Arabidopsis thaliana: one gene and its partners. The protein of the gene in region 1 interacts with the protein of each later gene in a pairwise test. Each region holds a gene or a part of one and is shown in the gene's direction. Other genes may lie near its edges. The genes, in order: AT5G03345, AT4G30660, AT1G64150 and COR413-PM1.

Region 1 (7,414 bases):
CACATGTTTCAGGAGGTAATCAAATCACTGACCTTTTCGATGTTTTCTCTGATGGCGTACTTGCAAGCTCTCTGGCAGATCTCGGTGATATCAGCACCACTGAATCCCTGAGTGTACTTTGCGAGTGCAGTAACATCTACATCTTTAGCGACGGGAGATTTTCTCAAGCAGGCCTTAAAGATATTGAGACGGGAATCTTCATCAGGTAGAGGAATGTAGATAAGCTGGTCGAGTCTTCCAGGTCGAAGAAGAGCTGAATCTATGATATCCGGTCTGTTAGTTGCTCCAATAATGAATACCGTCTTCTTTGCATTCATTCCATCCATTTCTGTCAAAAGCTGATTCAACACTCTGTCAGCTGCACCGCCGGCATCACCCGCGCTGTTCCCTCTCTGAGTAGCAATGGAGTCTAGCTCATCGAAAAACAGAACACAAGGAGCAGATTGACGAGCCTTGTCAAAGATTTCTCGGACGTTGGCTTCACTTTCTCCAAACCACATTGTGAGAAGCTCGGGTCCCTTGACACTGATGAAGTTTGCTTGGCACTCGTTTGCTATAGCTTTGGCTAACAGGGTTTTACCACATCCAGGAGGACCGTAGAAAAGAACTCCCTTTGATGGAGACATACCAAACTTCTCGAATTTCTCTGGATGCTCCACAGGGTATTGAACAGTCTCCTGAAGCTCTCTCTTAACATTCTCGAGACCTCCAATATCCTCCCAGGAGACATTTGGAACCTCCACAACAGTTTCACGAAGGGCGGATGGGTTGCTGTTTCCAAGAGCAGTGTGGAAGTGTTCATTAGACACAGCCATGGAATTGAGGATTTCGGCGTCAATTGAGTCATCTTCCAAGTCAATCACATCCATCTTCTCTCTGATACATTGAAGGGCAGCTTCAGTGCATAGAGCTGCAAGATCAGCTCCAACATATCCATGCGTGTCCTTGGAGATTCTTTCTAGATCAACATCTTCAGCTAGCTTCATGTTCTTCGTGTGGATCCTAAGAACTTCAAGACGTCCAATTTCATCAGGAACACCGATATCAATTTCCCTGTCGAATCTTCCAAACCTTCTCAAAGCCGGATCAATACTGTTGGGACGATTTGTTGCTCCCATAACAATAACATGGGCACGTGATTTTAGTCCATCCATAAGCGTAAGGAGCTGAGAGACAATCCTCCTCTCAACCTCACCATTCGTCTTCTCTCTTTTTGGTGCAATAGAGTCAATCTCATCAATGAATATGATAGACGGGGCATTCTTCTCAGCCTCCTCAAATGCTTTCCTGAGGTTGCTCTCACTCTCACCAGCTAGTTTCGACATGATTTCCGGTCCATTGATACAGAAGAAGAATGCTCCGGTTTCATTAGCCACAGCACGAGCAATAAGAGTCTTCCCGGATCCAGGAGGTCCGTAAAGCAGAATTCCCTTTGGTGGCTTCACACCAATTGATTTAAAGAGTTGTGGATGCCTCAAGGGAAGTTCAACCAATTCCCTAATCTGAGCCATCTGTTTCCTGACACCACCAACATCGTCATAACCAACCTCATCAAGCCTTTCTTCGTCCTCCCTCTTAACTGGTTCACCCTCACAGAAAATCTCTGTATCTGGAGCCACCACACAGTACTCAGCAGGATCAGTCTCGATCACTTTGAACTCCACACTCCTCATTCCTCCTCTCACTAGGAAAAGATCTCCCTTCCTCACTGGACGGTACGCCTCCAGAAAGTAAGCTGGTGAAAAAAACAATATAAGTTTAGAAAACACGAACTCCAAAAGACAAGCTAGACTATGATATGAAAGAGAGAATCAAAAGATTAAAGCAAACTTACGTTTCAGGTAAGCATCAAAGAGGTTTCCAGTAACGCCTTCAACTGTATCATCAACAGGCAAGATGTGAACACGCTTTCCATACTTGACATCTGGGCATTGGTGAACAGAAATAACATCTCCCAGCCTAACCCTCAAGTTAGACCTTACAACCTTATTCATTCTGATCTTGGGTTCCTCACATGTTTCATCAGCGAGGGCAATGCATACAGTGTCCTTCCTCTTCTTACCCTGAAAATCCAAAACCCCAATCAAGTAAGTAATCACAGAGATAAAAAGAACAATCCAAACCAATTCTAAACTCAAAAAAAAAAACTTCAGACAAAAAAGTTGTACCCTAACTGAATATGTTTACAAGATCAGACAAAGTAAAAAACATAACTGAATATGTTTACAACATGCTCGTGATATACAGTCAAGACACAGACGATCCAAACCAAGTCTAAACTCAAAACACCCTAACATAGTGACATAAGGAACAAAACCTAACCTTGATGAGAATTGTATCGCCTCGGAAAAGCTGGAGTTTTTCCATGGTAGTAGGATGGAGAGAGACAACAGAGTTGTCATCGTTAATAGCTTCATCGACAACAAGTCGGTTTGGAGACTTCTTCCTCTCTAGAATCGCAGTACTGAAATCCTTCTTAGTTTTCCTGAAACAAATACCCCAGGAAGACAAACAAAATCAGCTTTCAGATGAGATCAAACTAAAAAACCCTATTCTCAATATCGAAAAACCCAAGTAAAAAAATCGAAACTTTATGATCGGAAAACAAAAATCAAAGATCTAAGTACTTACGAGTCGGAGGATTCCGGTTCGTTTGACATAATGATAGCTTAAACTGACAAGAGAGCTCTAAGAAGGAAGTTGGGAAATTTGTTTCTAGAGAGATCGATTGGTGATGATGATGATGATGATGAATGGGATCTCAAGGGAGCTGAACTCGGGATTTTATACGCTCTGTGATTTCCTTCTTGTTGGAAAAATAAGCGACCCTTAACTTTTAAGTTTATCTTGAAAAGTTCCAAAAACTAGGTGTTGTGATAAATACACCCATGTTCCCTTAACATCATATCAATTAATTTATATTATTATATGATTTATCGAGAATCAAAACAAAAATCTACCTATATGAAGAATTAAAAAATTTGATGTAATTTTAAACTTATTTTAATAGTGTGGCGAGGGTACGTAAATGTTTATTAAAAACGTTATGGGGGAAAGTTGAAAATAAAAGTAAAAGAGAGGTGAGGATAACAGTTTTACTTTCTGGTTTTAGCAAACACAAGAAAGGAATAGAAGGTTCTTAGGTAGCGGTACCAAAGCAAGCTACATGTTTTTCTTACTTTTTTATAAATAGAAATTTAATATCTTACCATTTGATTTCTTTGTTCTAAAATAGATTTCCGTTTTTTTTATACGAAGTTATCAACATACGATTCAATTCAATAATTGCAGAAATTTTTGTTTGCATATGAATATATCATCAATATGAAATTCTAAATAAATATTCATAATTATTTATTATACGAAAAAATAATTATTTTCCCAAAAGATAAACCCTTATTGTTGTAAAAAAGTTATCAAACTAACTGAACTTTCATCTAATTAAAAATATTAGTTACTTAAAAAAAAGTTTGGGTTACAAAAGATTAATAGGAATCTAGGATATCATCAATCTAGAACTACGCGCCGTTGTTAGTCTCTTCGATATTAGACGTTGCGCCGTTTTCACTTTGAGATTTGCGATATTATAACTACATGCCGTTTTAAACTCCACTGATCGTCTTCTATTCTAGTTCGATTCTCGACGGAGAATACTCGACGAGAAAATCCAGATCGGGAATCAACTTAGAGAAGAAGAAAATTAAAAAAGAGAACTTCTAAAGATGAATTTGGGGTTCTTAGTTGGAGTTTTCGGCGTTCTTATTCTTTCTCATGCCGCTTATTCAACAATCCAATGTATGTCTACTCTTCCCAATCCAATTCCAGTTCCAATTGAGTCAGATCTACTTTAATTTTCGAGATAGGATCTTGATTTGGGTTTCTCTTGTTTATTTCAGATAGAGGATTGTTGAAGATTATGGAGGAAGAGTTTTCTCGACCACCGATTAATGTGAGTATATAATGATAACGGTTTCTCTTTTCCTCAATTGTGTTTGAATTATATCAGCAATGATTATGCTTTTATATGAATCATGATTGGATTTATTTAAGGTTATTCTGGAGTTGATCATTGGACTAGCTCTGTGTATGTGGGCTGCTTTGACTTTCCCTGGTAAATTTCTCTCGATCCATCCGGATTCTGATGAAAACAGGTTTGTGATCATGTTTCTCTCGAACTCTCTGTTTTGCATCAGTGTTAATCAATCTGAATTCATGTTATCTAGTGAGTGTTTTTACTATTGAATTTTTCTCTGTTCGTACTTTGTTGAACTTGGTGTAGAGTTACTACGGGTCTTATAGAAGCATCTTCTGGCTAGATTTGGTTCAATTATTCAGTTTAATCATGGGTGTTTCTAGTGAATATGTTTTCTTTTGACTGAGAAGGTTTACGGATGTGTTGTTAATCAATTGATTCAAAGAACTTGTGCTCTAGAGATGTTTCGAGGGTCTAGTTTTGATGTCTCTTTAACTCTCTGTTGTGCATCAGTGTTTATCAATCTGAAACATGGAAATTTGGTAGTTATTATATTTCCCGATGATTGAATGACCACCAAAGACTCATGTTTATTGATAAGAAACTGTCGTCTAGAGATGTTCTAGGTCAAACATTGATGTTTCTTTAATACTTTGTGCAGCTAAGGTTTTCTAAAATGCAGGACATTCAAAGGGACATTTTCTAGTTTATATTTGGTCCAGTTACGATTATGGGTTTCAAGAGCTTTAACCAGTTCTGCTCCTGGCTAATTCAATCAGTTTATATTTGTTTCATTGGCTCTTTAGACCCACTTTGGTTCCTTCTATGTCGCAGCCTCTCCCCTACCTTTTTGTACATTAGGTTCTTGAATTGGTTTTGAGTTTGGCTTTTGCTAGATAAAGTGAATATCTCCTGTTAACTGGTTTCTTTCAAAAAATTTGCAGGGCGGTGTTTTTACCAGATAATTCGGATTTCATGATATTCAATCACCGTGGCAGACTGTTCCCACCGCAGATCGACATGAAGTTTTGAATTTTTATCACACTGCTTAGTCAAACACTGATCTGTGTAATGTTATGAGATGTTTCCATTGAAATTCTACTCTAAGTAACTACTCTGCTTTGCATCAATTTTTGATTCTTGAAACGAGTCTTGTGATGTTTCTGTGTGTCAGGTCTCTACTTAGAATCTTTTAGAATGAAGAATCAACATAACAACAAGTGCACAGGTCCTAGCAGGATAGGATACTGTGTAAATAGTCAAATACAAACAATTAAAACAACAAAATTTGCTATTTTATTCATTCCGGTTACAACTTTCTGATACATTAGAAAAAGCATAACCGAACAGAACCGGTTTAGATTCTCTTGGCACTGTTCTGGAAGGTCCAACTCCAAATGTCATGACGTTCAACGCCACGGCCCATGGCACCAGAAAAACCGGGGTACATATTTTGAAGAAAAACCTTAGAGAGATCTAAATGGGCAACGATCAAAGGCTTCTTAGGTTTCTTAACGGTTTCTGGCGCGAGAGTAACTGTAACCTTGGAGTTTCTATACTCAATCCAAGCCTTGTACCTCTCTCCATTACTCAGCTTGAACTCTTTAAACGACCAGTGTTTCATTTTCCCAATTCCTGTCTGAACCCAATAACCAGCTTTCTCAGCAACAACGGAAGTAACAGAGTTGATATTAATCCCGACATGGTTATCATTAATGTCTCCAAAACCTTTGTCCTGAAAAACGTCGAATTCGACAGCAAAGATGTGGTTTTTGGGGTTGCCATTGTTGGTTTTGTTGAATATCCCGAGGTATCCAGCGGGTCCAGGACCGTCACTTTCAATGGAAGGGACGACAACAAAAGCAAGGCCGTGACCAGGGGCGGGTTTGATGCGAGTAGAGATGGAGAAAGTGAAAGAAGTTTCAAATGGATAAGGAGAAGAAGAGTTTGAAGAAGGCTTGAAAGGGACTGGAGTGGACCAAAGACTTTGGCCGTGAGAGAATGGGTTCTCGTCTCGTGTCATGGAGAGAGCTCCGGAGCGGCTGACGCCATCAGAAGCAGGACCGAGCTCAGCGTCTCCAAGGAAGACCAACTCTGAGGTTTTGAGGTTGAGGTTGAGGTTGACGGCGGAAGTGGTGTGAGCTAAGAGCAGAGCAAGAAAACAGAGTTTATGAATCTTCATTGCGTTTTCGTAACTGCTGTTTACTCAAGTGAGAGTTTGAAAGAGTGAAATTATTAACGTGGTGATTTATAAAGAGTAAAACATAAGCCCATGTACATGACGTCATATTGTATGATGTCAAGTAAACGCATCACCTACAAGATTTCCTTATCCTTTCCATAAATTGAACTCGACCAATAAAAAACGTGATTGTTAATAATGGAAAGAAAAAAAAATTAAAACAAAATCATCGAATGGTCACATCAGCACATGACATTTTGTCAAGTAAACGCGTGAAGACACTGTTGTGAATACACTCATTCAGCAGAGTATGTGTACAGTGTACGCATATCTCGTATATTAGATTGTACTTGTCTTTTGCGATGTGAAAGCATAGTATACGGTATCATTATGTGGATGAATGAATAGAAAACACTACGTCAAAAGGATAAGGAAAATCTAGTGGGTTCTTTAATTCTTTACCCACCACATAGACAACACTACGTCGTATAGAAATTTACTTAGAGAGTATTGAAGAGGAACATAGACAACCTTGTGTTTCTTCGGTGTAATTGGTCTAGAAAAGGACCAATGCAATGCAAAGATCGATTGCTGTTTATTTTTCTACGAGAGATATTTTCAAAGAAAATTCACTCAGGAAAAAGTAATTTGCTTTGCATCCCAAATTCTCATCAGTTTATCACACATATGAAATGTTCAACAATCTTACCATTGATTTCTTAGTAAATCGATCTCTGATTTTTCGTTTGAACGATTTTTAAATAGTAATCGTAATATTGTAGTTTAACCCAAAAATACTTGCACAATTGGTTAAAAAGTTCAAATTTTTTAGAGAGATCAAAGGTTCATATTTTCTCAACAAATAAATATTGTGAACTTACAATAAAAAATAGAAAATGGAGGGTTCTTTTGCAAAAAGGAGCAAAAACGGATTGAGCAGTGTAGTTGAGGCTTTAAATATGGCCCATGAGTCGTTGTGGCCCACAACTTAATATAGAAAAAGGTGCAAGTTGCATAGGCCAACGCCAATGTAACCCTCATTAACTTCATTATTAGTCTAAGAAAAACTCTTAGGCACGATCCGCAAGCTACGGACAGCTTGAGATTGTCTTGTCACACTTTATTTTTTTAATCTCTAAAAGTTGACCGTTGAATTTGTATTCGAACAGCCTGTAATATGGGATGGAGAGTGGATAGCCTGTATACATGATTATACATTGTTTGGTTAGATAAACATATACCAATATAGAGAGAGCAGC
Region 2 (6,841 bases), on another chromosome or scaffold:
GGTGGCGATCCCATGATCAGATTAACCTTTGTGCAGGTTCTGGAGTTGGAAAAGGTAATTGCTTTTTCGTTAGGGTTTTAAGTTTGAAATTTCTGGGTTTCTTATTTGTTTCGATTTCCTCTGGATCTGCTGGTTTGGGTGATCATGATGTTTTGTCATGACTTTGGGTTTGGAATTGTTCGCTTGATTCTAAGTGAAGTCATAGGGAAGAAGTAAAGTTTTGAAATTTGTTTCCTTATCTCGTTTTCTCAGGAATTAGAGATAAAGAGAAAGAGATTGGAGATGATTAAACAAAAGAGATTGACCCTCAAGTCAGAAGTTAGGTATGATCTCTGATCTTCTTGTCAATTTACGTGTTTAGCGTGTATTAACTTACATGATCCAAGCTTTTGTACATTCATTAGCTTATTGAGTTTTTGATGATCAAACGATAGGTTCTTGAGACGTAGATACGAGCACTTGAAGCAAGATCAAACTCTTGAAACCTCTCCAGAGATGTTGAGATTGTCAGAATCCGGGGGTTTAGAGGTCCCAAGGAAACCAAGTGGCGAAAGAAAGAAGCAGTCTGGTGTGAGAGCATCTGTACCATGTTTTGATTTGAAACTGAAGAATACAATTTGCAATGAGAAGGAAGCATTGGCTAATAATGTTGCAAGTTGTGACTTGGATAAGAAGCGAAAAAGGAGCAGAGGAAGCGATGTTTTGACATTCCCCGTTTCACTTCCTGACCTTAACGGAGAGGGAAACACTTCTGGCACTGACAAAGTCCCTGGCTTTGACCTAAACCAGATCTCGGTAAAGCCAAACAACTTGTGTTATTTTAGTGTCTTCCTTTTGGTAGAGTCTATAGAACTTTATTAGTTTGATTTGTGTTTTGGTTGTAGAGAGAAGAAGAGGAGCCGGAAGTGAATGGTGAACATATGGTCGCGGAAGCAATGAAGAATGCAATGCTTGATAACAGGATCAGTGATCTACATGTTGAAAGAAAGTTACCCATTTGCGGAGATGTGGAGAAAGAGTTAAATAGAGCAGTGAAGAGGAAGGTTACATGGCAAGATCCAGTGGCTTTAAGTGTTTAGGGTGTTTAGTATGAAATAGGATTTGAGATAATGATTTGTCGTCCCAATATGCACATATGCTTATACAAGTATATAGATATAAGATTTGATTTGATGACTTAGAAAGTCATTACTTCCATATGTCCAACATAGGAAAACCTTTGAATAATAACTCTTGTCATAAGTGACTACATTATCCTTTTAATCCAATTTGGTAATTAGGGAATCTCATTTGTTGTTGGATGTTCTTACTCATTCTCTTAATCAAAGTCGAGGAGCAGAACCGTTTTGCTCCAACTTCAAACTGACAGAACATTAATATAAACTGGATATCAAAATTGGAAAGGTTACTAATGACCAATAAAAAAAAGCTCTGTTTTGTAATAGGTAAAGAGCATGCTTGATTATAGAAGCTGAAAAAGTCTCAGCATTTTTGTTTCCATTGACTACATTTATTCCATTGACGATAAAAAAAAGTCTCAACATTTCAAGTCTATTCGTACTCAAAACGACGAAGCGTTCTTCAATCCTATGGAAGTCAACGGCGGGGAAGGAAAGGTGGAGATGGGATCGGGACTCTACCCTGACTGGTCTGAGTTGACTCGAGAATGTCTTCTTGACATCTTCTCACGGCTAAGCCAGGAACAAAGATGGATTGGACCGATGCTGGTCAGCAAGAACTGGATGAACGCATGCTATGACCCGACACTAAACACCATCTTCGACCTCGAAACTCGGTTTCTGTCGTTCCCTGAGTCGATCAACTGGTGGACTCCCGAGTTTGAGGATAAAGTCGATTCATTTCTCCGATCTGTTGTTGATCGGAGTGAAGGAGGTCTCACAGAGATTCGGATCAGGCATTGTACAGAACGCTCTCTATCTTACGCCGCCGAGAGGTACGTATCACTTTTCGTGATAATTCTCAGTTTTAGCTTGAGTCCATAGAGGTTAATCGCAGAGTTTTGATAGAATGAATAAAATGTCATGTGGTTTCCATTTGCAGGTGCCCTAATCTAGAGGTACTTTGGATAAAGAACTGCCCAAATGTTACAGATGCGTCAATGGAGAAGATAGCTATGAACTGTCCAAATCTTAGAGAACTTGATATAAGCTACTCTTATGGCATAACTCACGAGTCTCTGATAACATTGGGGAGGAGTTGCCAAAATTTAAAGATTCTGAAACGGAATTTGTTGCCCCGGCTAGGTCCTAGCCTGCCAACAATCGTCGCGCCACTAGACTATCTGGCTACATTTCCTAGATATGGGAATATAGAGGCTAGAATAATTGGGAAATACATGACACAGCTCAAGCATTTGGAGATTCGATACTCCACATTGACTGCTAGAGGACTTGACTCGGTTTGTAAGGGATGTTCGAATCTAGAGTACATGGACTTACGCGGATGTATATCATTGACCAGAAGTGATATAAACACTAATACGTCGGGCTTGAAGAATTTGACGGAGATCATTAAGCCGGATTTCAATCCTCCGATTGCTGTTTTACGCGTTCCAAGACCTGGTAATCCAAGAGAGGAATGATGGTGTTTGGTTTTTGTTGGACGCACGTTTTGATCAACTTGTTGACCGGTTTTTATGCTCAGAGCTTCCTCTATGGCATTTTTTACTCTGTTCTTATCTATGTTTGAATTCCTAAAACAATGTGAAACCCTTTTTCTTTGTGAGTTTGTCTTGTCACTAAATTCCCAACTTTTGGTGTGTTCTATTAATATTCTTCATTGCTTTAGGTCTGAATCATAGTGTTAAGTGAAATAAACATTGAGGGAAATGGGTTAAGTAAATGTACTGAGATAGCTTGCCATCTAAGCAAGCAACAGAAAAATTGGGCTAATCAAAGTCCGGTCCCGGAAACAATAGAAGACAGGCCTTCTAGGCCAACTTAGTCACGTGATCCATTAACCGTACGATAAGGGGGCGAGTCAGAGTAATAATATCCCACAATGATCAGGTGTGTTGTGTTGCACCATACCTTGCGTGTTCTTGAGATGAAAATATCTAAAGAGTGGGGGCAAGGTAAGGTAATTTTACGAGATGTCGGCATGTAAGCTGAAGCCGTACGATTTATATACCAAACAAATAAACGGTGCAGATCTCGTAGTTGACTTGGTAGCGCCAAAAATAAAAAGCCGTGGATTGCTCTTTTAATTGGATCTCTGTGCTACCGACTACTTTCAGTGTTCTCTTCTTCTCCACTAATTCAGATCACATTCAAGAATCTTCTTCACTCACATCTCTGAAAAAATGGCGAGCAACATGGAAGTTTTCTGCGAGATCTTAATCGCGATCCTTCTTCCACCTCTTGGAGTTTGTCTCAAACGTGGCTGTTGCACTGTAAGTTATTGGAATTTTGGAATCATGAATCTTGAGATTTAGTTTAGAAAATCTGACTCTTAGTTTTTTTGCAGGTAGAGTTCTTGATTTGCTTGGTGCTGACAATCTTAGGATACATCCCAGGGATAATTTATGCACTATACGTGATCGTGTTTCAAAACCGTGAAGGCTCTACCGAACTTGGAGCTCCACTTAACTCAGCTTGATCTGTTTTGGTCCATTACACGGATCAATATGTTGTTGAAACTGTTTTACTTATCATGTACCAAATAATAAGTTGCTTTGCAATTTTTATGTATTGAAGATTTGAGAACATTGTCGCGTTATTGATACATTGCTTATCTTTTTGATGTATAACTTGTTGGCTTTTGCAAAGTCAGGCTACGGACCTTCCTAAGAGTTAATGTATCAAATTCTTTGCCAAGATTGTATTTACCGGAGTTTAAACTTCGCAAAATGCGGAAGCATTTTTGAGTTTGAAAGGATTTTGTATGATGCCAACATATATTATGGTATAGATTATGCTAAAAAAGATAGATTTCTGTTACTTTGGCAAATAATGACAATGATTGTGAGTTGAGGAATCAAAGTCTCAGTAATACGACACCGTTTGAGTCAAAACGTTTCTGTCCAATTCCAGTCTGGTCCCGGGATTAATAAAATAGACAGGCCTTCCCAGGCCCATTTAGTCACATGGATGAGTCAGAGACTAAAATATCTAAAAGTGATCTGATGTGATAAGGGTGCACCATATCGTTCGTTGTGATTCACGAGATGTAATCTAAAGCCGTACGATTTAAATATCAATAAATGAACGGTGCAGATCTCGCACATTGACTTTGTAGTGGAAACAAAATAAAACGTGGACTGATCTCTCTTCATTGGTACTCTCAACTCTGTGACAGCAAGTTTCAGTGTTTTGTCTTTTAAAAAAACTCTTAAAGCTTCTTCTTCTCTCATCTCATCTCTCTGAAAAAATGCCGAGCAACTGTGAGATTCTGTGCGAGATCATTATCGCGATCCTTCTTCCTCCTCTCGGAGTTTGCTTCAGGAAAGGATGCTGCACTGTAAGTTCTCTCTCTCTCTCTTTCGAATTCCTCAATTTTGAAGAATCCTGGAACTTCTTATAGAGACTGTAATTTTGGATTGATTATAATGTAATTTGGTATGAGTAATGAAGGGAGTGCTTAATCTATGATATGAATCGCAGAAATTCTCTGGATTGGATCAATTTATGTTTGATTCATTGATTCCTGAAAGCTTGGATAATCATTTGAAGAAAGTTGAATTTTTTTTATGTGTGGTTTGTTTTGGCAGGTGGAGTTTTTGATATGCCTGGTGTTGACGATCTTAGGCTATGTCCCGGGGATAATATATGCGATTTACGTGATTGTGTTTCAGCACCGTGAAGAGTACTTTGATGAATACAGACGCCCCATCTACTCTGCTTGATTTCTGTTTCTTTGGAACTGTGTTGCTTTGACTTGTACCAATAAAGTTGCTTTGCAGTTGTTTTCAGAGATTTGAAAACGTTTGTGTGTCATTTATATGCAATATTGAAAGTTTCTTCTGTTATCAGCTTATGAACCCTCCTGCTATGTGTGCTTATGCATCAGGTTGTTGACATAGTGTTTTCGCAAGGCACAAATTAAATTATTAAATTGAAAGGTTAAAAAAAAAAAGAGTTTAATTAGAAGGCGAAGAACATCAACAGAATTGAGCTCGCGACCGTGGAACCGTAGCGCAATGCCATCGAGAGACAAGGTCGACTAGTAGCGGATGATCCACCCGCACCATGACCACTACTGGGGACACGACGGTGGCTACGACCACCACCACGACTACCACCACCAACACCACCAAAACGAGCTTTCCTCATGAAAACTCGAAGAGAGTCATGATGATCCAACGGATTGGAGTCACCGTGTTGTGCAAGTCTTCGTTCACTCTCCTTATTTTCAGATGAAATTGGCAAAGGCTGAGAGAGTAACAATAGGAGTACAATCAATGAACAAGAAAATGCCAGTGAAGTCCTCATTTCTGTTTTATCAAATAATATGTGTGTATATACATGTATCTGATCGAAAAAAATCAGAAATATGTGTTAATTTTACAATGATGGGACGCATTATGTGTGCAAAAGAATTAGTATTTATAATATCGCTAGGCTTAGGTAACGAAACGACCATGGCTTAAACATGGGCTACTTCTTCTTTGAAATGATGTTTAATACTATTATTGTATTTAACTATTGGGATACTTATTACTTATTAGCAAAGAAACTTTCCTTTTGCCAGCAACAAAGAAAGTTTCCGAGAGGCAAAATCTAATTACGTAAGGGAGGATCATGATTAATTAAGCCTAATGGGTAACAGACCCAAATGTTATTATTTATCGTTTTCTTATGTGAAATGGAATTTAGTGAATTTCCAACGTAAGGCAAATAGTGGTCGAAGGGAAATGGTGCCTAGTAGTTAGTTCTAATTGTAACTGAATTTGATTGAATTCATGTAGTAGATGTTTTAAAGAGGTTGTTGTTAATGGTAAGAATAAACAAAGGAACAATGTTCACTATACCTGCATTCTCTCTCCACTCAGTCTTCAAAATAATTGATCGTGAGATTAAGAACACTATCACCGCCAAAAAAATCAAAGGGGTCACTTCTGAAATCTTATGGCTGCGATAAACTGGCCCGAGATTTTCCCACATAAGTTTGTTTTCTTGTTTTTTACTCTTTTTTTTTTTTGGCCAAGTACACAATTGTATAGGTTTAACCAAAGTGTAAGTTCTGATTATTCATATTAATGATATTTACAATTTAGCAAACAAACAAAAAAATTCCAAAAATAGTCGCATGTAGTTGTGTGTCAATGATAAATTGTCTTAGACAATCAGTTATTATTCATTAAACAAAACAACTGGAACCACAATATTAGACAAACCAGATCAGACAACTTTTCAAACATTGAAGACTTACAAACTCAATCTTTGCCGGAAAAGAAAACAAATCGTTAAACTCGATCGGAAATACAAACTCAAACAAACACGCAAATTCAAGCCATTTGACAAATAAAATAAAAAAGTCGCAACCTGTTATCTTGGATTAAAATGCGGCGAGCAATAAAACAAAGGAACTCACAACAGTAGATACATAGGTAAATGGGTTAGAGAGAAGGGTTCGAGTGGCTGCTGATTTGTCCTTCTTCTTCTTGCTCTTGCTTTTGCTTTTCCTCACGAAGACTCGAAGATGGTCGTGGTGATGACCGGATGACCCTTCCTTGTTCTCTTCATGTTCAACTAGTTCCCGACCCAAAGGAGTGATCGTATGGCGTCCGCATGAAATTATGAGGGATTGAGAAAGTAACAAGAGGGAGATGATCAAAAACCAACCAAGAAGAGAAGAAGTTCTCATCTTTTTCTTATTCTTT
Region 3 (9,639 bases), on another chromosome or scaffold:
TAGCGTCAGCTACAAGAACCGCAAACATAGACGCAAGATTGAGAATGATGAAGAAGGCGAGAAGATGCAGCAGCTTAAGGTTTTGGTATGTCTTCAAAGCAGTAAAGATATTGATCCCATGATGAAAATAATGGAAGCTACTCGTGGAAGCAACGAAACCAAAGAAAGATTTTGCGTTTACGTTATGCATTTAACTCAACTCTCCGAGAGACCTTCTTCTATTCGAATGGTTCAAAAGGTGAGAAGCAACGGTTTGCCCTTTTGGAACAAGAAAAGAGAGAATTCTAGTGCCGTTACGGTCGCGTTCGAGGCGTCTAGTAAGCTAAGTAGCGTTTCGGTGCGTTCTGTGACCGCGATTTCACCGTTGTCAACAATTCATGAGGATATATGTAGCTCTGCTGATAGTAAATGCACAGCGTTTGTGATTTTGCCGTTCCATAAGCAATGGAGATCTCTGGAGAAAGAATTTGAAACGGTGAGATCGGAGTATCAGGGGATTAACAAAAGAGTTCTTGAGAATTCACCGTGTTCTGTTGGAATTTTGGTTGATCGTGGTCTCGGCGACAACAATTCTCCGGTAGCTTCGAGCAACTTTTCACTTTCCGTCAATGTTCTGTTCTTTGGCGGTTGCGATGATCGTGAAGCTTTGGTTTACGGGTTACGAATGGCTGAACATCCGGGCGTTAACTTGACCGTTGTGGTTATCTCTGGTCCGGAGAGCGCAAGGTTTGATAGGCTTGAAGCGCAAGAAACATCACTATGTTCCTTAGACGAGCAATTCCTTGCAGCAATCAAGAAAAGGGCCAATGCAGCTAGATTTGAAGAGAGGACGGTGAATTCAACGGAGGAAGTGGTTGAGATTATCCGCCAATTTTACGAGTGCGATATTTTATTGGTGGGAAAATCTTCCAAAGGACCTATGGTTTCAAGATTACCGGTTATGAAGATAGAGTGTCCAGAACTGGGACCGGTCGGAAACTTGATCGTGTCAAATGAGATTTCTACTTCAGTGTCTGTTTTGGTGGTTCAACAATACACCGGGAAAGGTCCTTCTGTGGTGGGTTCCGTCTCTGTCCCGGTGGTGGAGACGCCATGAAAATCTGGAAACAGAGGATTGTGTTTTCTTTACCTTGAAGCACAAACCATGATGGATAACACGAAACACTCTTATGTATCAACATGCATGAATCAAACGACTCCCCTTTTTATGAATTTGTAAGATAAAACATATTTATGAATTTGAGTCACTGATTATATCATATCCTTAAAACATATGATTTGATGGATAGATTATTCAAGTTGTTAAGAGTTCAAAATTTTGACCAAAGATATTTATATTTTGGTAAGTCGATCCTTTTTTCAAAGGAATACTTCATATAGTAATTTTAGATACTACAATTATATTGACTAGTGGTGTTGTAGAAATATTTTTTCCTACTCAATTTACTATCATCCCATGCATGTGTCCATTATAAAGCTAGATTGAAATTTCAGTAGTAATCAAAATCTGATATTGTATAACACTGTGTTTGGTTTGTCAAACAACACATGACATAACAAATCATATACTACATAATTATCAAACCACATATCGAACAGAAAACATAAAATTCCAATATAAGATTGTTACACACCTTTTAAACTTATTAAATTATCAAAAAGTTTCAAAGGACTCAGCCTCTTTCTCTTTCTCTCTGTCTCTGGAACCATTTAATGGTCTCTTTTAGTAACATTCATAGAGTTTGATATCCATCTTGACCCTAAAATACTTAGCACCTTCAAAGGTATCGGTCTCAAACGTAACAATCCCTCGAGACATGAAAAAATCACCTGTCCCTCCGACAACAGACAAATCTCTACTCTGCACCATCATGAGATCTGCTCCCATTATGTTCAACGTCCCTTTGTGTTGAGTCGAGTTGAACACAAGTGTGTACGCGAACCATGCATTGTAGTCATTCTTCATGTCGTAGAAATAGAACCCTTGAGCTCTTGCCACAGGTTCGGACTGAAAGTTTTTGTCTATGGTCATAGGATCGTCGAAGATAACGAGTTTCCCGAATTTGAAATTCCCGAGGCCCGGTGGGTTGGTAACTGCTGCAGAAGTCGCGTTTTGCACGTCGTCGACACCGAACATTATGTCGTGGTAGTAGAGGACAAAGTTTTTGCACGGTTTTGGTTGCGATTTGGATGGTTTTCTAGCTGATATGACGGTTTTTGTTAGAACAAGGAAAACGAATAAGAAGAGAAACGATTTCATTTGGCCTACCATATTGAAAATATGTGTGTTTTAAATGAAAATGTGAGAGTGGATAATGAGAGAGTGAGATTGACAAAGAAGGAGTGATGGGTTTATATACAACTTGGGTTACTAGTCCGTGTTAATATTAAGTATAAACAAAGTGGACTAGCTCACTTCTTCTCTCTTGTTTCTTGTTTATATATTTATTTATATTAGGTTGGTGATAAGTTTTGTTGATGTGTATAAAGTGAGATCATTTACCATGAATATCTGAAAGTTTTCCATGTAGGCGGCTCAATCACCTTTCAAAACTTTCCACAAAATGTTATAGTAGTGGAGAAATCGTTAAAAATAACACGAATGAAGTACTAAAACAAATTAGTATATATAATACATATTTGATTTAAGACTACATAAGCTTAAAGCTTGTACATACCTTAAGCTGGAGTTGCACGAATTCATCAATAATATCTAAAACAGCACAAATTCAAAAGCAGAAGAGATATTAAATCGGTTAAATATGCAATTCATGGCTTTAAATCATATATATTGAATCAATGAATAATCTACTTGTTCGTCTAAATTTAGGACATTAATAATATATATATGTATAGTCTTTCAGAACTACTAATATATGTAATTTGGCCTTTTAATGATGGGTTGGTGGAGCACTAATAATAAAAACTAAAGAGCATGAGGAGTTTTTCCAATAACTTATAATTTTACATGAATTTATGTCAAACTGCCACTGACCATTAGCATGATGCTAAAAAGTATCGTTATAGATTTTATTTTATTTTATTATATATAAATCATATCATTTTTTTCTATAACTAAAAGTAGAGTCATCTATTTTATTGGTAAAAGTCACGTTGAAAATTTTAATTTTAGTTTGTTAAGTACCCTATGGCTAATATAATTTGCATACCAAACATGTTTTTTTCTTAATGATAATCTAGTCCATTTGTAAAAGTAACCGTTTTATCATCAATTTTTTTTTAATTAAGCTAAGCTTTCGCCGACTTAATAGAACATTGGCATTCGGCAGCCAATAAAGCAAATCAAGTTGCAGAATTTCAAATGTGACATAACTATTCACATTTTAAAAAATAATATCGTGAAACAAAAGAAAAGCAGAACAATAGTAAACAAAAAGACAAATTGTTGAATGTTGACAAACTGTGAAGATGATAACAAACGAAGGAAAAGAAAAATACTAAAATAGTTTGTCCTAAAAAGCCTTATCTGCGAAGGCATTTTAACGAAAACGGGCCTATTGTTGGCCCAATATGATATATAGGCTCGAAACTCGTCACGTGTATTCAACAGTTGCTTGAGTTTTTCCCACACGTGCGCTGTTACTACGTGGACGCGCGCGAATAACTCTAGTTTTGTGGATTTTTTTCACTATCTTCTCAGAACAACACAGAGCCAAAGGTTTTTTGCTCGCAGTAAAGAAGAATCACACTGTGAAGAAGAAGAAGAAGCGAAATACAAAATCCTCAGGAAAGAAATGCTAAGTTTGAATCTCTCGGAGTCGCTTCGCATTCCATTCCAGAACCCTAGGCCTCCCAAATCCGATTTTTCTTCTACTTCTTCTTCTCCTTCCTCATCGTCGAGGAGATGCGTCTCCGCTTATCCAATTCCGATCGGGTTTTCGGTTCGTAATCAATACTTTTCTAGGTAAATTTGATAATTGATTGTTCATCGGCTTTTGAATTTGCTATGCGAATGGAATGTAGCCATGTAGGAGTTTACGTCTTTTCACAATTCTGTGCAGATGTTTGACTCAATTGCGTCGAAATGAATCTCAGCAGCTAGGTTTTCGATGCTTCCAACGAAACGATGCGGCTTGTTACCTCGAGGTGATTCTGATTTTTGTTACCTTCCACCAATCTTCTTTTGGTAGATTTTTGAATTTTTTTAGATGAGATTCTGTTAAGGCCTAGAGGAGATTTCTGAATTGCTTGTTCTGTGTGGATTTACCTAAAATGGTAATGTAGGTTTATTATAATGATGATTGATTTTAAGGTTGAACAATAGTGGAGAGAATGTGTTTAAATGCATAAGCTGAATAAGTTGTTGTGTTTGCTTTGTTCAGAAAGCTGAGTCTGAAGAGCATGATAGAAATCTTGATGTTCTGGTTGAGTCATCGATAGCTCACTCAAGAAGAGAGATTCAGAGAGTTCTTATGTTCTTGGCGGTATCAGGTTCGGTTGCATTACTAGGCACTGATCCAGCTTTTGCAGCTTCGTCAATTCCCAATGTGACACAGTCACTTGTCACTTCTTTTGGAGACCTTGGAGATATTAGCTCAGGTTTTGCTTCGGTTAGAGAATCTTCCTTTTGCACAGAACCGGGAACTATCTCTTCTTCAATTCCAGTACTCTTAAATTTTATTTTTTGCTCTGTCTATGTCTGTGTAGGCTTTCTTGCTTATCTTTTTCTCTGAACTTGGAGACAAGACTTTCTTCATTGCGGTATGATCTTGAGATGTTAATCTACGCTTTAGAAACTCTCTTTGTCATCAATGATTCTGTTGATTGTGATAAGTTTTCATGTTTGTTGGTTAGGCCCTTTTAGCAGCAAGGAACTCTGCTGCTACCGTATTCGTGGGGACTTTTGGCGCTCTAGGGTATGCTTTCTTTCTCAAACAGAGGCGTTATTATGGTCCGTGAATCTTGTCTGAAACCAAATGTTACTTTGAAATCTGTAGAGCAACGTTATAAAACTTGGTAATTTTGCAGGATAATGACGATAATATCTGTAGTGCTTGGACGCACTTTCCACTATGTCGATGAAGTTCTTCCATTCAGGTTTGAGTATTCTGGCAAAAATTATTAAGCAGGTTTAAGTTCCATGATGATGCTGAACGTCAATGCTTGAGAACACAGGTTTGGTGGAACCGATTTGCCTATAGATGATATTGCAGCAGTTTGTCTTCTGGTAAATCTCTTTATTCACCTTTCTTAGCAGAGTCGTACTAACCACGGGTGCTTGGTTTGGACCTTTCTTATGTCTAGCAAGTATATCTTCCTAAGTATATGATGTCTACCAAGTGAAACCAAATGTAGCTGTAACCCTTTTGTTATGAGTTTTGTTTTGGTTTTGGTTCAGTTTTCGATTCGAAGGGTCTTAAAATTGTCATGAAGTTTATAAGTTTCAGGCTCTATTGGGTTTGGATTTTTATGTAGAAAAAGTTACTGGTCTAACAATGAAGATGTTGATTGGTTTTCAAGCCTGGTTTATGGTTCATTTTGGGTTGGATCATATTGTACAGAGCATAGTCTTAACCATGAAACAGTATTAACCACTTTTGTTACATTTAGGTGTACTTCGGTGTTTCAACGTTATTAGATGCTGTTTCAGACGAGGGTAAAGCTGACGAAGAACAGAAAGAAGTAAAACCTCTTTAGCCTTTCGTTCACTCTTTGTATATTTCCATGCAACCTTCAAGAAGTCAATATTTATTTACTTATTATCTACAGGCAGAACTAGCGGTTTCAGAGCTTTCAGGTAATGGAGCCGGGATAGTAGCAGCCGCGAACACCATCATCAGCACTTTCGCATTGGTTTTTGTTGCGGAATGGGGTGACAAATCCTTCTTCTCAACAATTGGTGAGACTCAAAAAGTTCAAATTTCATGATAAATCAAAACCTCAGGTCCAAAACTCCAAAAGTGTATATAATCTTCTAATTCTTTGAAGCTCTTGCGGCTGCATCATCACCATTGGGTGTCATCGCTGGAGCGTTGGCGGGTCACGGTGCTGCGACTCTTGTGAGTTCTTTATCTTTTGATTGAAACTTCTATGTGAACACTTTAAAGATCCTAGCTATTTGGGCTAGTCAAAAGTATCTTTAAGTACTATTAAGACTTAAAACCCCATCAAAGAAAAGATTTTTTCAATTCTCCTGAAACTTGGAAGACACAAGAACTCTAACTTGCAGCTTGGTTTGTTAATCGCAGCTTGCAGTATTGGGCGGTTCTTTGCTAGGAAATTTCTTATCAGAGAAGGTAACTAATTCCGTTCTTTATCTATCTCTATATACATACACATAGACAGTATATACATGTTTATACTTTATATAGATCAAATCAATTTTAGAAAATCATTATTTCACAAAAGCACTTGAAGAATACTCCTTTTTCATTTATAGTGTCAGGTTTAGATTTTTGTTACATGTCTTAACCTGCATCCTGACCAAGTAAAAGGTTAAGAAGAATAAAACTTTAATGGTTGCATTAAAAAAGTAGAAAACAATTAATGAAATATGAAACAAATCCATGTCCTTAGATTATCATGAAAATTTAGGGTGAATATACTAAATGCCAGCATATCCTAGGATATATTCAGCTTTTATTACACAAAAACGAGATACTAATGGCAAATTACTAGCTTTAATCATGGTTTTAAAAGTTCCAAACCACCTTTTTGAGTTTTGTTTTAGTTAGTCAAAGGATATAATTTTTAATCTCGTATTGTGTTCTGAGATTTAACATGATAGAAAGAAAAGTGAGAGATTAAGGTTTTTATTCTTTGGGCAAGTGGCAAAAACAAGCTTCTATGTTCATTGATCTCAAGTCTTCCACATCACTTGGTATCTATTCCTCCCCAAAAAAGAGTCAAAATAACATCTTTTATTGTTTTTATTCTTTCCTATGTCCGATCCAATCTGTCAACAACGCGTTATTATTCCCAAACTAATGAAACTAGCCGCGGAAATAAAAATTAAATCACAAGTATATACTATAATTTTCTTTAGGTTTTAAGGTTCATGATTTATGTTTTATGGTTTAAGGCTTAGATTTTAGCTTTTATGACTTGATAGTAGGCTTACAATTTAATTTATAAAGATTTAAGACCATTTTTTTTATTGTTTTGATCTAAAGTTTAGACTATTTAAAAAACAATTTTGGGAGAGAGAGTGTGTTCTAAAGACGGAAATGTTTACATGTCGTTTGGTTCGAAACAGGCAATTGCTTATGTCGGAGGAGTTCTGTTTCTCGTGTTTGCTGCTGTGACGGTGGCTGAGATCGTTACGTAAGTACCGAAAAATATATTTTTTCTATACCTTCTTGTACAAACATATTCAAGTTTAATTTTATTTTTGTAAAATATTAGTATATTGTTTATTTTCAACTGTTTTTCTGCAAATTATAATGTGGATTTTACAGTTCTCATACGTTAACGTTTACTACCACATTTGGTTTTTAGTGGTTAGAATTTACTTAGATGTCAAGATAGGTAATATGTTATGTTTTGAAAGATGCGTCCAAACATAACACGTGTTCGGGACTGGAAAGAATATAAAGACTAAAAAGAGGTTGAACATGGTAGAGCATATTCTTTTCTATATTCTTCATGTACAAATGTGTATTTAAATACTATAATCGTGCATGTGAATTAAAATTATATGAAAAAGTTATAAATTTATGAGTTCCACTCACAAAGGCCAAAGGAGTTGTTACACCGACATGAGAAATAGGAAGATAATACCATCTCCTTTCTTTTATAGTAAGGTGTAAATTGTTTTGGTATTTTTTTTTTAAATGGTTTTAGTTTCAATATTAAGCAAGGGCCAAGGTGATTTTTCTTTTTTAAAAAGGATTACAGAAGTAAAGCTATATATTGTGCAAAATAAGCATGCACTGATGCACCTACATAAATAGTAGTTTGGATATATTGTAAAAATAACTTTAAAAATCATTGGTTTTGAAAAGGCATATTTCAAAGTTTCTGAAGACACAAATTTTTTAAAATTAATTGACCGAAATATCTTGCTTAATAATACCTTTTCTACACAATGACTACACCTATATAATATTGGAGCATTTTTTTGTTCTTGATAAATAATAGTATATCACAGTGACATAAACTTCAGCAGTTATCTTCAAAAATATTAATTTGTTCTACAATATACACCTTTAACTCAATATTTAGTGATTTGATTTTAAAGTTGGGGGAAATTTCACCTGCATGTTGAATTACGCAAAGCGATTATTTACCTGACATATAAATGGTATTTAACGTACTTTTACGAAATTGAATACTACTAGTAGTTTTGAAGTAAATAGAAATCTAAAAAAGGAATTAGAGAATCTAAATAATACAATTGACCTAGAAAAAGTAAAAACAAAATCTAACGAAATTGCTGCATTTGCAAACGTGAACCACTCTTTTATCGTACGTGGACCCTTTTTAGGTTTCCTACTAAGGACAGCGATAGCCAAAAAAAAACCAAGAAACGACGTCGGTTTATATATTTTTGAAAAATTAAAAACAAAAATCGCAAAAAATTACGCTGTCGTAGATTTGTAGAAGACCTTCCCGAGGGGAATCGTGCGGGACCCATAAAAGACGCATGTGGGGACCACAGTCATAATCACAAAACCAAATTGAACGGTGACGAGCCGCTGCTGCTTCAGCCGCCACGCACCAAATTACCCCTTCGTTTTTTCTTTGCTGCTGATGCTTCCAACCGCCACAAACAATCTTGGCTTCGTTTAAACCATACGTATCCTAATTAAACTCTTAATATTAATATCATTATCTGTACTCAAATCTGCATAACAGAGTACAATGTTATTGATAAAAAAATACCATTAATCAAACTTAATATAAATTTATGGTAGGATAAATTTGATTATCAGGAAGTGGAGGACATATCATGTTTGGCAGTCAAATACTTCATTTTATTTTTGATTAAATTTAGCTGGTGCGTAAAAATGAATTTATGTGTTCTCTGTTTAATGAATTGATTAATGTGTTTGTAGCTTATACTTATGATCAATAGTCAGTCAATACAAAAACATAAAAAAAATATTAAAAGGGTATAAGTGGCACGTGCAAAAGATTCTGATGGCACGTGTGGCAAACCAGTCGTCTTACCCTTGGTTTTTTTATCCTCCTCACCTCTCCTTTCAGATTCGATATCATTTCCACTCCCTTCAAAAAAAAAAGCCTCTCTCTCTCCTCTCCTATTTATACCTCTCTCGATCTCTCTCGCCGGCGCTGCAAATCCCTAGGTTTTTCAATCACACCCAAAACATTTGTAGAGCCCCAAGTACTCAATTTCGCTTATTGATAGAGAGAGAGAGAGATTGAGAATCGCGATTTGATTTTATCAATCGATGCCGTGAAAATCTCGTAATCAGATTCAAAATTGAGGTAAATTCATTCTTCGTTTTTGTTTTTCTTCAGTTGAATTTGCATGTTTGTTTTTGATGAGAAATTCAGAGAAATTTGACTTCTTTTTAATTCGAGACAAAAAAAATATGTCTCTGAGATCGATGTCTGGGAAATTGAATAATTCTGTTATTCTCGTTGCTTTCTTTCCTTGTTCTGTTTCATTTATTTCTGAAATTTTGTGTCGGTTTAATCTAGAAAGACTCAAGT
Region 4 (7,276 bases), on another chromosome or scaffold:
ATCTAACTATTGGCAAGTGGGGTTGGGAAAAAAAGAATAAGATAAGACAATAGGATTCGCTTGGGCCAGACCATATCCAAATGCAACGAATAAAGCAATATAGATATTAACGACACGTCACTACAAATATCACAAAGATATGAATTCGTCAAAAATAGGAAAAAGAAGATCCGACCTGCCGGAATCGAACCAGCGACCTAAAGATTATCTGTTTTAAACAACTACAGTCTTCCGCTCTACCAACTGAGCTAAGGTCGGATGATGATATGATTCAACACTAAATATATTTATACTATATCATAAAGTATTTGAAAACGTGGAATTTTTTATTTATTTGAACACGTGGAAAATTCAAGAAGGTGAAAGAGATATTTTTTGGTTTCAATGATTTGAAACTGTATGTGCATATGGAAAATTCAAGAAGGCCAAAGAGATATTTTTTGGATTTTGATGATTTTTCCAGCCATTAGAATTTAGAAACTATGTACATATATATATACCAAAAAGACAACTCTTCTATAGTTGGACCGTGGACGGTGCCAAAGTGTAAAACAGATTGTCCACTTTCGTGTCAATAACACAATTATTTGAAAACACCAATCAAACTTGTCATGGTTTTGCAAGTCCAAAAGACCAAAAGGCCCTATTCTTTGTCTACATAAAGCTCACATGCATCTCTCTCTCTCTCTCTCTCGTTCATAATGAGATATTAAGATCAACAAAAGGAAAGAATGGCAAAAGCTATGGAGCTTTGGGTGGGAGAGATGAAGAAGATGAGTGAGAAGATAAACACTAGAAATCCATTGATGCAAAGGAAGAATTCAACATCTGTTGTGTCCAAACAACAACAAGGATCAGAAGAAGAAAGAGGACTTATTAACCAAAAGATTAGAGAGAAAAATGAAGCTGTAACTATGTCTGAGCTCACTGTTTGTCTTCTCATGGACCGTTTTGTTCCTTGGTGATCTTTCCATACCCAACTACTTCTAGATCTCTTCTTTGGTGATGTGTATATATATATCTAGAAACTACATGTAGTATGTCTATATATCAGATTTTGTTTGTGCAGACCATGTTTTTAAGTTTCCTTGTAAACCTGTGAAAGTAATGTGTTTGAGAAACATATTTTTATTACTTTAATCAATAGTGTTCAATTATTATTAACCGGGATTTATATGAAGATGGAACTTTCTATTCACTCTGTAATTAGGAACATTCGCATCATTCAGTAAGAAATAAAACAAGAAATGATTATAATTTTTCTAATAACGTAGGAATTCTGAGGGAACCCAAAACTAAAATTTGATTGAAAGATTTTGAAGTGGCCAATCATGAATGAGATTGCTGGAAGATATCATCAATATTCAATACAGATAACGATTTTTTTTTTTTTTTATTGATACCAAATGAGCTTTCGGCTTTTGGCCCAGACGGAAACAACGGTTACAAAAGGTTTGGGCTTTGGGCTTTGGGCTTTTGATCCACATGACGATCATATAGTTCTTTCCTTCAACACAAAACACTTGAAGTGTATCTTATCAACTAAACTCTATTCCAGCAAAATTATTTCAAAATTAGATATATGGGAGAATTTTTACAGGCCATTCTAGATTTTCATTAACGCTGTGATTTATCCGTTAATAAGTACGATTAAGAGTAAAACGACGTCGTTTGCAATTGAAACAAAAATCCCCAATTCAGAAATAAGAAACCCTAGATCCTCAAATCTCTTCTTCTTTTCTTCTTCGAATTCACTCCTGTATTTTGAAATCAAAGTGAATTGCAAGGCACAAAGTTCATGCTTTAAAGCACTGCAAATGGCGAAGTCATGATTTATATGGCATTTTTCCTGTTTTTGTTTCAATTGCAAACGACGTCGTTTTGCTCTTAAACGGTCTCATTAACGGATAAATCACATCTTCTAATTGCTCTGTTTATTCAGTTGATGTTGTGACTAATTTGGCTCTGTCAACGAAAGTTAGTGATTTTATCTGAAGTCAACACGTAATTGATGATTTTAATCACAAAGTACAAAGTTTATGTTTAAAGCACCACAAATTGCGAAGTCGTGATTTAAATGACATTTTTCCCGTTCTGGTTAAACTAAGTTTCTATTATTTAATATGGATATTGTGGAGCGTAGTGTCAGCACTCAGCAGCTTATTTAACGTGATACTCTTTAACCGAGTAACAACTAGTGAGGTCATATTCAGGACCGATCCAACAATATTGAGGGTTTTACTCCAAGTAAAATTTTAGTTTTATTTTTAATTATCATAAACGACATAAATATAATATGGAAAGATCACAAATACTGATTAAAAACTAAAATCATCAAAACGAAAAAGAAAAAAGAAAAAATTGGGTTCAACTCTCATGAGTTATTAAACATTTTAGGTTTTAGGCTTAAATCTTTAAAAAAAATCAGAACTGAAAAACGAAAAATTCTAATTTTATTTTGGACTCTGATTCATAGCTTATGTCGCTTATGTAGTTATGCTAGGGATGAATCTGTATTTCGTTACCGTAATGAGAGTTCGATACTCTCTTACTTGTTACGATTCTGGAGCATGTTACATTTTTTTCTTTCCGTCAACAACAACTTTAATATGGTAAAACAAAATTTATTTTTATTTGGCTGGTCCTACTCAAGACAAATCTTCTGCCGACATCACATAATCATATTAAAAACCATAACTTCTGCCACTCTGTTTTTTTTTTTTTTTGTAACCATTAACTGATTGGATTTTGATCCATCTCATCTGATTTTTTAGCTCAACAATTTACTTGCACATTTTCTATTTGGTTTTATTTATACTTAGTTACATATATGATTATCGAACTAGTATCTCTTTATAATTAAGTATTTTTCTATTTTTTTTTAATTTAGATTTTTGTGAATTCATTTACAGTAGAAAACTGTAAAACCATATGGTCTAATTATAGAATGAAAACTTCAACGAATCCATACAACTTATTGGCTAAATATAATAAATCTGCTTGAAGCATATTGTTATTATTTAGTTGGATTTGACGATCTCTGACTTTAATGTATACCGACATACCCTATGATTTAGATGTTGATTTTTCCCATTCTTAATATATCCATGTTAAGAGATTCCACCATAACATATCTAATTATTTGCATTGTAATAAATATTATCATTAAAAAAAAATACAACTGGACAGCTGGCTCGTCCCATTGTTTCTTACGTCCACCAATTACATTTGTTAAAGCAAACTTATTAGAACGTTCATGTGTGAGAAGTTGGTGTCGACATGTGTCTAAGGTCTATGTCAGAAATCGGATTAGCTTATTAAGTAAACTATACTATATCATTGTTAATATAGATAAAATATCTAGTTCGTCCAAATTAAACTATTTTCATAACTGCCACGTGGCGTAAACGTATCCATCGAGTCACTTGTAATATCTTTATAACCAAAGTCTTCCAACACATTCATCACCATCTATCTACTCTTTACTCTCTTCTCTTCTCACATCAATTATTCATAGTTCTCTCTTCTCCGGCAAGAAAAGATGCCTATGAAGTCGTTGAGGAATGACCATGGAACCCTTAAGGCCATGATCGGATCCGATTTCAACGAGCTCACTATCGCTGCTAAGAACCTAGCTACACACGCCTTCACACTCACTGGTTTAGGCTTTGGTACCTCTGTCCTCGAATGGGTTGCTTCAATCGCCGCCATGTAACCATTCTCTCTGTTTCTATGTCTCTTTCCTCTATCCGTTTCTTGTGTTGATCTTGATGAGGTTTTGATGTAATAAATGCAGATACTTGTTGGTGTTGGATCGAACCAATTGGAAGACGAATATGCTCACATCACTTCTCATTCCTTACATCTTCTTCAGTCTTCCTTCCTTGATCTTTGGTATTTTCAGGTATAACACAACAAAAGCCAGAGACTTTTTCTTTACTTATCATTATGTTCCTAAACCCTAACTTGTGTCTGAAACTTTGACAGAGGAGAAATTGGTAAATGGATTGCTTTCGTAGCTGTTGTTGTACAACTCTTCTTTCCTAAACACGCCAGAGGTTTGTCTACTTTTTTTCATTCACTCTCCATTACAAGCAACAAGACTTTGATTCTGATTTGGCTTATCTCTGTTGTTTGTGTTATTAGAATACCTGGAATTACCGGTGGCTTTGGTTCTTCTCGCCGTGGTGGCACCAAATTTGATTGCTGGCACATTCAGAGACAGTTGGATTGGTTTAGCTATATGTTTAGGTATTGGATGTTACTTGCTTCAAGAACACATTAGAGCTTCAGGTGGATTCAGAAATGCATTTACTAAAGCCAATGGTATCTCCAACACCGTCGGGATCATCTGTCTCGTCGTCTTCCCCGTCTGGGCTCTTATCTTTTAAGTTAACTCTTCAGTTTCTTTTTCCATTTGTCTTTTTTTTTTCATGTAAGAGTGATTGCTTTGTACGATCTGTCTCTCCTCGTAACTCTATCAATGAATGTGATTTGAATAAGAATTGCTTCAGCAATAAGATATCATCATGAGGTGTTAGTGTGGAATAAATCTCCTCTTTCATCATTATAGCTTTAATGGGTAACGTTGTATCATCTTACAATGTGTACCACTTCTTACCGCTTTCTCGTACCACCACAAAACTTGTCCACATTGTGTCACCAATTGGTTTCTATGTGGTTTTGTCATCTTTGCTTCACCAGCTTACCAACGAAGCTCAACTTTTCTAGCTTTCTTCTTCTGCTCTTAGCTTGAGTGATTCAGCCATTTCTATGGCCAACAATGCTGATGTTTCCTCATCACCTACTATTCCATACCCGTCGATAAAAGCTCTATACGTCTCTTGACTCGGCTTAAATCCTTTCCCAACCATCTCAGCCTGAATGTTCAATGCTCTATCCATCTTCCCATCTTCACACAACCTCTTTACCAACAACTCATAACAATTCCGACTAGGATAAAACATTGCTTCTCTCACCGCATCCTTCACGATATCCGCAGCTTCAACAACTCTCTGTCCATCCCTATCATCACATAGCCCTTCAACTAACGCTTCAATTGTTAAACCATCTGCCTCAAAACCTTTCCTTTTCATCTCCCTATAAACAACCAAACCCGAATCAACATCCCCCGCTTTACAATACCCGTTAACAAGATGCTCATACGTCAAACAAGTACACTCAATCCCCTTCAACCCCATATCTCGAAAAAGCTCCTTCGCTTTCACAACTTCAAAGTTACTACAAAGCCCACCAATCATAGTGTTATAAGCCACAATATCATAAACCACTCCTCTCACCTTCATCTCTTCCCATACCTTCTCCGCTTCACTCATCAAACCTCGCGCACAATACGCCTCCATCAAAACATTATAGCTATAAACATTCGGAGAACATCCAACTTCCTCCTCCATTTCTCTCCATATCCTCTCCACCATCTCAGTCTCACCTTCTCTATAAAAACTCACCATCATCGAATTAAAAGTGGTCGCATTTGGCTTAATCTTACCTATCATCTTTTTAGCTTCATCAACACTAACATCATCTAAACCAAAAACTTCTCTATACATCTTATATCCATTAGAAGCACCTCTACGCCTAGAAACCTCTGTGATCAAAGCATTACAAGTACTAATCTGTGCATTGATTCCTCTAGACCTTAACTTTCTCATAACCATCACAGCTCCATCAATCTCTTTCGAATCAAGACAAGATTTTATCAACAAATCGAATACAAACGGAGCAGAGCCACATCGATTATAACTCTTAATCAACGAACGGAACACTTTCAAGACTCTGTCTTCGTCTTCGTCGGTGGCGGCGAGACGGAGAGCGAGACGTATGATTTCACTAGCGTGGCTTTTGAGACGAGATCGAGAGAGGATGTGGATGAGAGTTGAGCAGGAGTGTGTGTCGTGAGAGCAGAGAGAGTAACGGCGAGTGAAGAGGAAGAAACGGAGAGAGAGGTGAGGATTGTTGCGGAGGCAGAGAGTGATTTCGGAGAATTGAGAAGGTGTGAAGCCTGAAGGCTGGAGTGATCGGAGAGTGGACCAACGGGATTTGGAGCGGTGGTGTGTTAGGATTGAGACGGCGTCGGAAATTAGAGGATCTGATGGCGGAGACGGCGGAGAAGAGACGGTAGTGAGGAGAGAGATTGAGAGGATTGCATCGGGTTTGGGTTTCCGGGTCGGGTCGAGTATCCGTCTTAGTATTGAAGTTGACATTTTAAAAGTTTCTTTTACTTTCGAGTTGAACTCTCACAGTTTTATACTCTGGTTTGGAGAAAAACTGGGTAAAAAAATCTGACAAAACAGCCGATTCCTGCATAAACTTAGCTAACTATGAACTGAAAGAAACATATACGTGGGGTTATTGGCCCAAAGACATATATATGGTTCTCTTATGCAACTCCCGAGTACTCTCTTTCTTTGCATGGTTGATACATGATCGGATAGTATCAGAATTTTTCACATTGTTTGGGATTAAGATTTTTAAGTATTATATAAACGATGTCACAATTCTTAACTCTTGAGCTAGCTTTTGGGTTAAGTTAGGCCACATTTCTAATAGATAGACAATGTTTTTTGTTATAATGTTGAAGAGAGAAAAAATCACCTCTTCTTCTCTTTTTGATACTCATCGTAAATATGGCTTTTCTTACGCATAAATTTTGTGGGATTGACTTCCACACCAATTAGAATTAGGTTCTCTCTTCTCTACATAACTTAACTCTTACCTCCGATTAAACTCTTCCTCCTAAGGTATGTCTTCCAATCGACGATTTACCGCATTTGGAGGGAAAGAAACGCAAGGCGACATGGGGAAATAAAATCAACTCACAACCGGCTACTCAAGCTCATCGACAAGAACATAGAAATCGACTCAACTCAATACGTGAAACAATGGACAGAAACTACGACTACGGACGGATGGAGTGGCTCACCCTCAGCTCCATTCCGTAAGGCAGTCATCAAGTTTTTTTTATCACTTCAAGATTCTTTCAAAAATATAATTCAAAAACAGATGCATTCATTGTAAAAACATTTTTTGGTTTAATACAATTTTACATTCAATTTTTTAAAAAATAAAAATCTCACCTTTCTTAAAAATATTTTTTAAATTTTAACTTTTTCTTTATAGGTTTTTAAACCTTCGTATTTTAGTAAAAGGTAAATATTTAATAAACTTAGGCCATCTACATCGTTGATTCTCAAAAAGAGTTTCTCATGAATAAAATTTTATTTATTTTAATCAAATTCAGATAAAGTATTAAATT

What was found.
Region 2: the proteins of AT5G03345 (region 1) and AT4G30660 interact in a protein complementation assay, tested with the Arabidopsis thaliana proteins (one large-scale study listed by BioGRID).
Region 3: the proteins of AT5G03345 (region 1) and AT1G64150 interact in a protein complementation assay, tested with the Arabidopsis thaliana proteins (one large-scale study listed by BioGRID).
Region 4: the proteins of AT5G03345 (region 1) and COR413-PM1 interact in a protein complementation assay, tested with the Arabidopsis thaliana proteins (one large-scale study listed by BioGRID).

Annotation. Positions count from the first base shown.
Region 1 is NC_003076.8:810,474-817,887, forward strand, and holds AT5G03345 (membrane magnesium transporter-like protein), read left to right. Parts: upstream 1-3,611; 5' UTR 3,612-3,722; coding exon 3,723-3,799; intron 3,800-3,896; coding exon of another isoform or gene 3,897-3,900; coding exon 3,901-3,949; intron 3,950-4,050; coding exon 4,051-4,242; 3' UTR 4,243-4,834; intron 4,835-4,917; coding exon of another isoform or gene 4,918-5,005; 3' UTR 5,006-5,146; downstream 5,147-7,414. Other genes in the region: AtCDC48C (ATPase, AAA-type, CDC48 protein), read right to left, coding at 33-1,735, 1,835-2,063, 2,323-2,485, 2,632-2,660; AT5G03350 (Legume lectin family protein), read right to left, coding at 5,331-6,155. UniProt on the Arabidopsis thaliana protein: Mediates Mg(2+) transport.
Region 2 is NC_003075.7:14,951,081-14,957,921, forward strand, and holds AT4G30660 (Low temperature and salt responsive protein family), read left to right. Parts: upstream 1-4,298; 5' UTR 4,299-4,389; coding exon 4,390-4,479; exon of another isoform or gene 4,480-4,729; coding exon 4,730-4,864; 3' UTR 4,865-4,920; exon of another isoform or gene 4,921-5,080; 3' UTR 5,081-5,091; downstream 5,092-6,841. Other genes in the region: AT4G30630 (uncharacterized protein), read left to right, coding at 1-54, 253-323, 435-795, 885-1,079; AT4G30640 (RNI-like superfamily protein), read left to right, coding at 1,590-1,954, 2,062-2,602; AT4G30650 (Low temperature and salt responsive protein family), read left to right, coding at 3,323-3,412, 3,487-3,618; AT4G30662 (uncharacterized protein), read right to left, coding at 5,103-5,450; AT4G30670 (Putative membrane lipoprotein), read right to left, coding at 6,517-6,825.
Region 3 is NC_003070.9:23,806,696-23,816,334, reverse strand, and holds AT1G64150 (Uncharacterized protein family (UPF0016)), read left to right. Parts: upstream 1-3,609; 5' UTR 3,610-3,755; coding exon 3,756-3,925; intron 3,926-4,022; coding exon 4,023-4,107; intron 4,108-4,343; coding exon 4,344-4,571; intron 4,572-4,668; coding exon 4,669-4,722; intron 4,723-4,815; coding exon 4,816-4,877; intron 4,878-4,989; coding exon 4,990-5,058; intron 5,059-5,136; coding exon 5,137-5,188; intron 5,189-5,571; coding exon 5,572-5,643; intron 5,644-5,730; coding exon 5,731-5,860; intron 5,861-5,949; coding exon 5,950-6,020; intron 6,021-6,209; coding exon 6,210-6,257; intron 6,258-7,216; coding exon 7,217-7,288; 3' UTR 7,289-7,500; downstream 7,501-9,639. Other genes in the region: CHX16 (cation/H+ exchanger 16), read left to right, coding at 1-1,096; DIR5 (Disease resistance-responsive (dirigent-like protein) family protein), read right to left, coding at 1,724-2,272. UniProt on the Arabidopsis thaliana protein: Mn(2+)/H(+) exchanger, which transport Mn(2+)from the chloroplast stroma into the acidic thylakoid lumen. Might be a chloroplast-localized Ca(2+)/H(+) antiporter. Regulates Ca(2+), Mn(2+) and pH homeostasis. Required for chloroplast development.
Region 4 is NC_003071.7:6,946,622-6,953,897, forward strand, and holds COR413-PM1 (cold regulated 413 plasma membrane 1), read left to right. Parts: upstream 1-3,229; 5' UTR 3,230-3,541; coding exon 3,542-3,711; intron 3,712-3,796; coding exon 3,797-3,904; intron 3,905-3,987; coding exon 3,988-4,058; intron 4,059-4,146; coding exon 4,147-4,391; 3' UTR 4,392-4,404; coding exon of another isoform or gene 4,405-4,439; 3' UTR 4,440-4,571; downstream 4,572-7,276. Other genes in the region: AT2G15960 (stress-induced protein), read left to right, coding at 732-965; AT2G15980 (Tetratricopeptide repeat (TPR)-like superfamily protein), read right to left, coding at 4,728-6,224.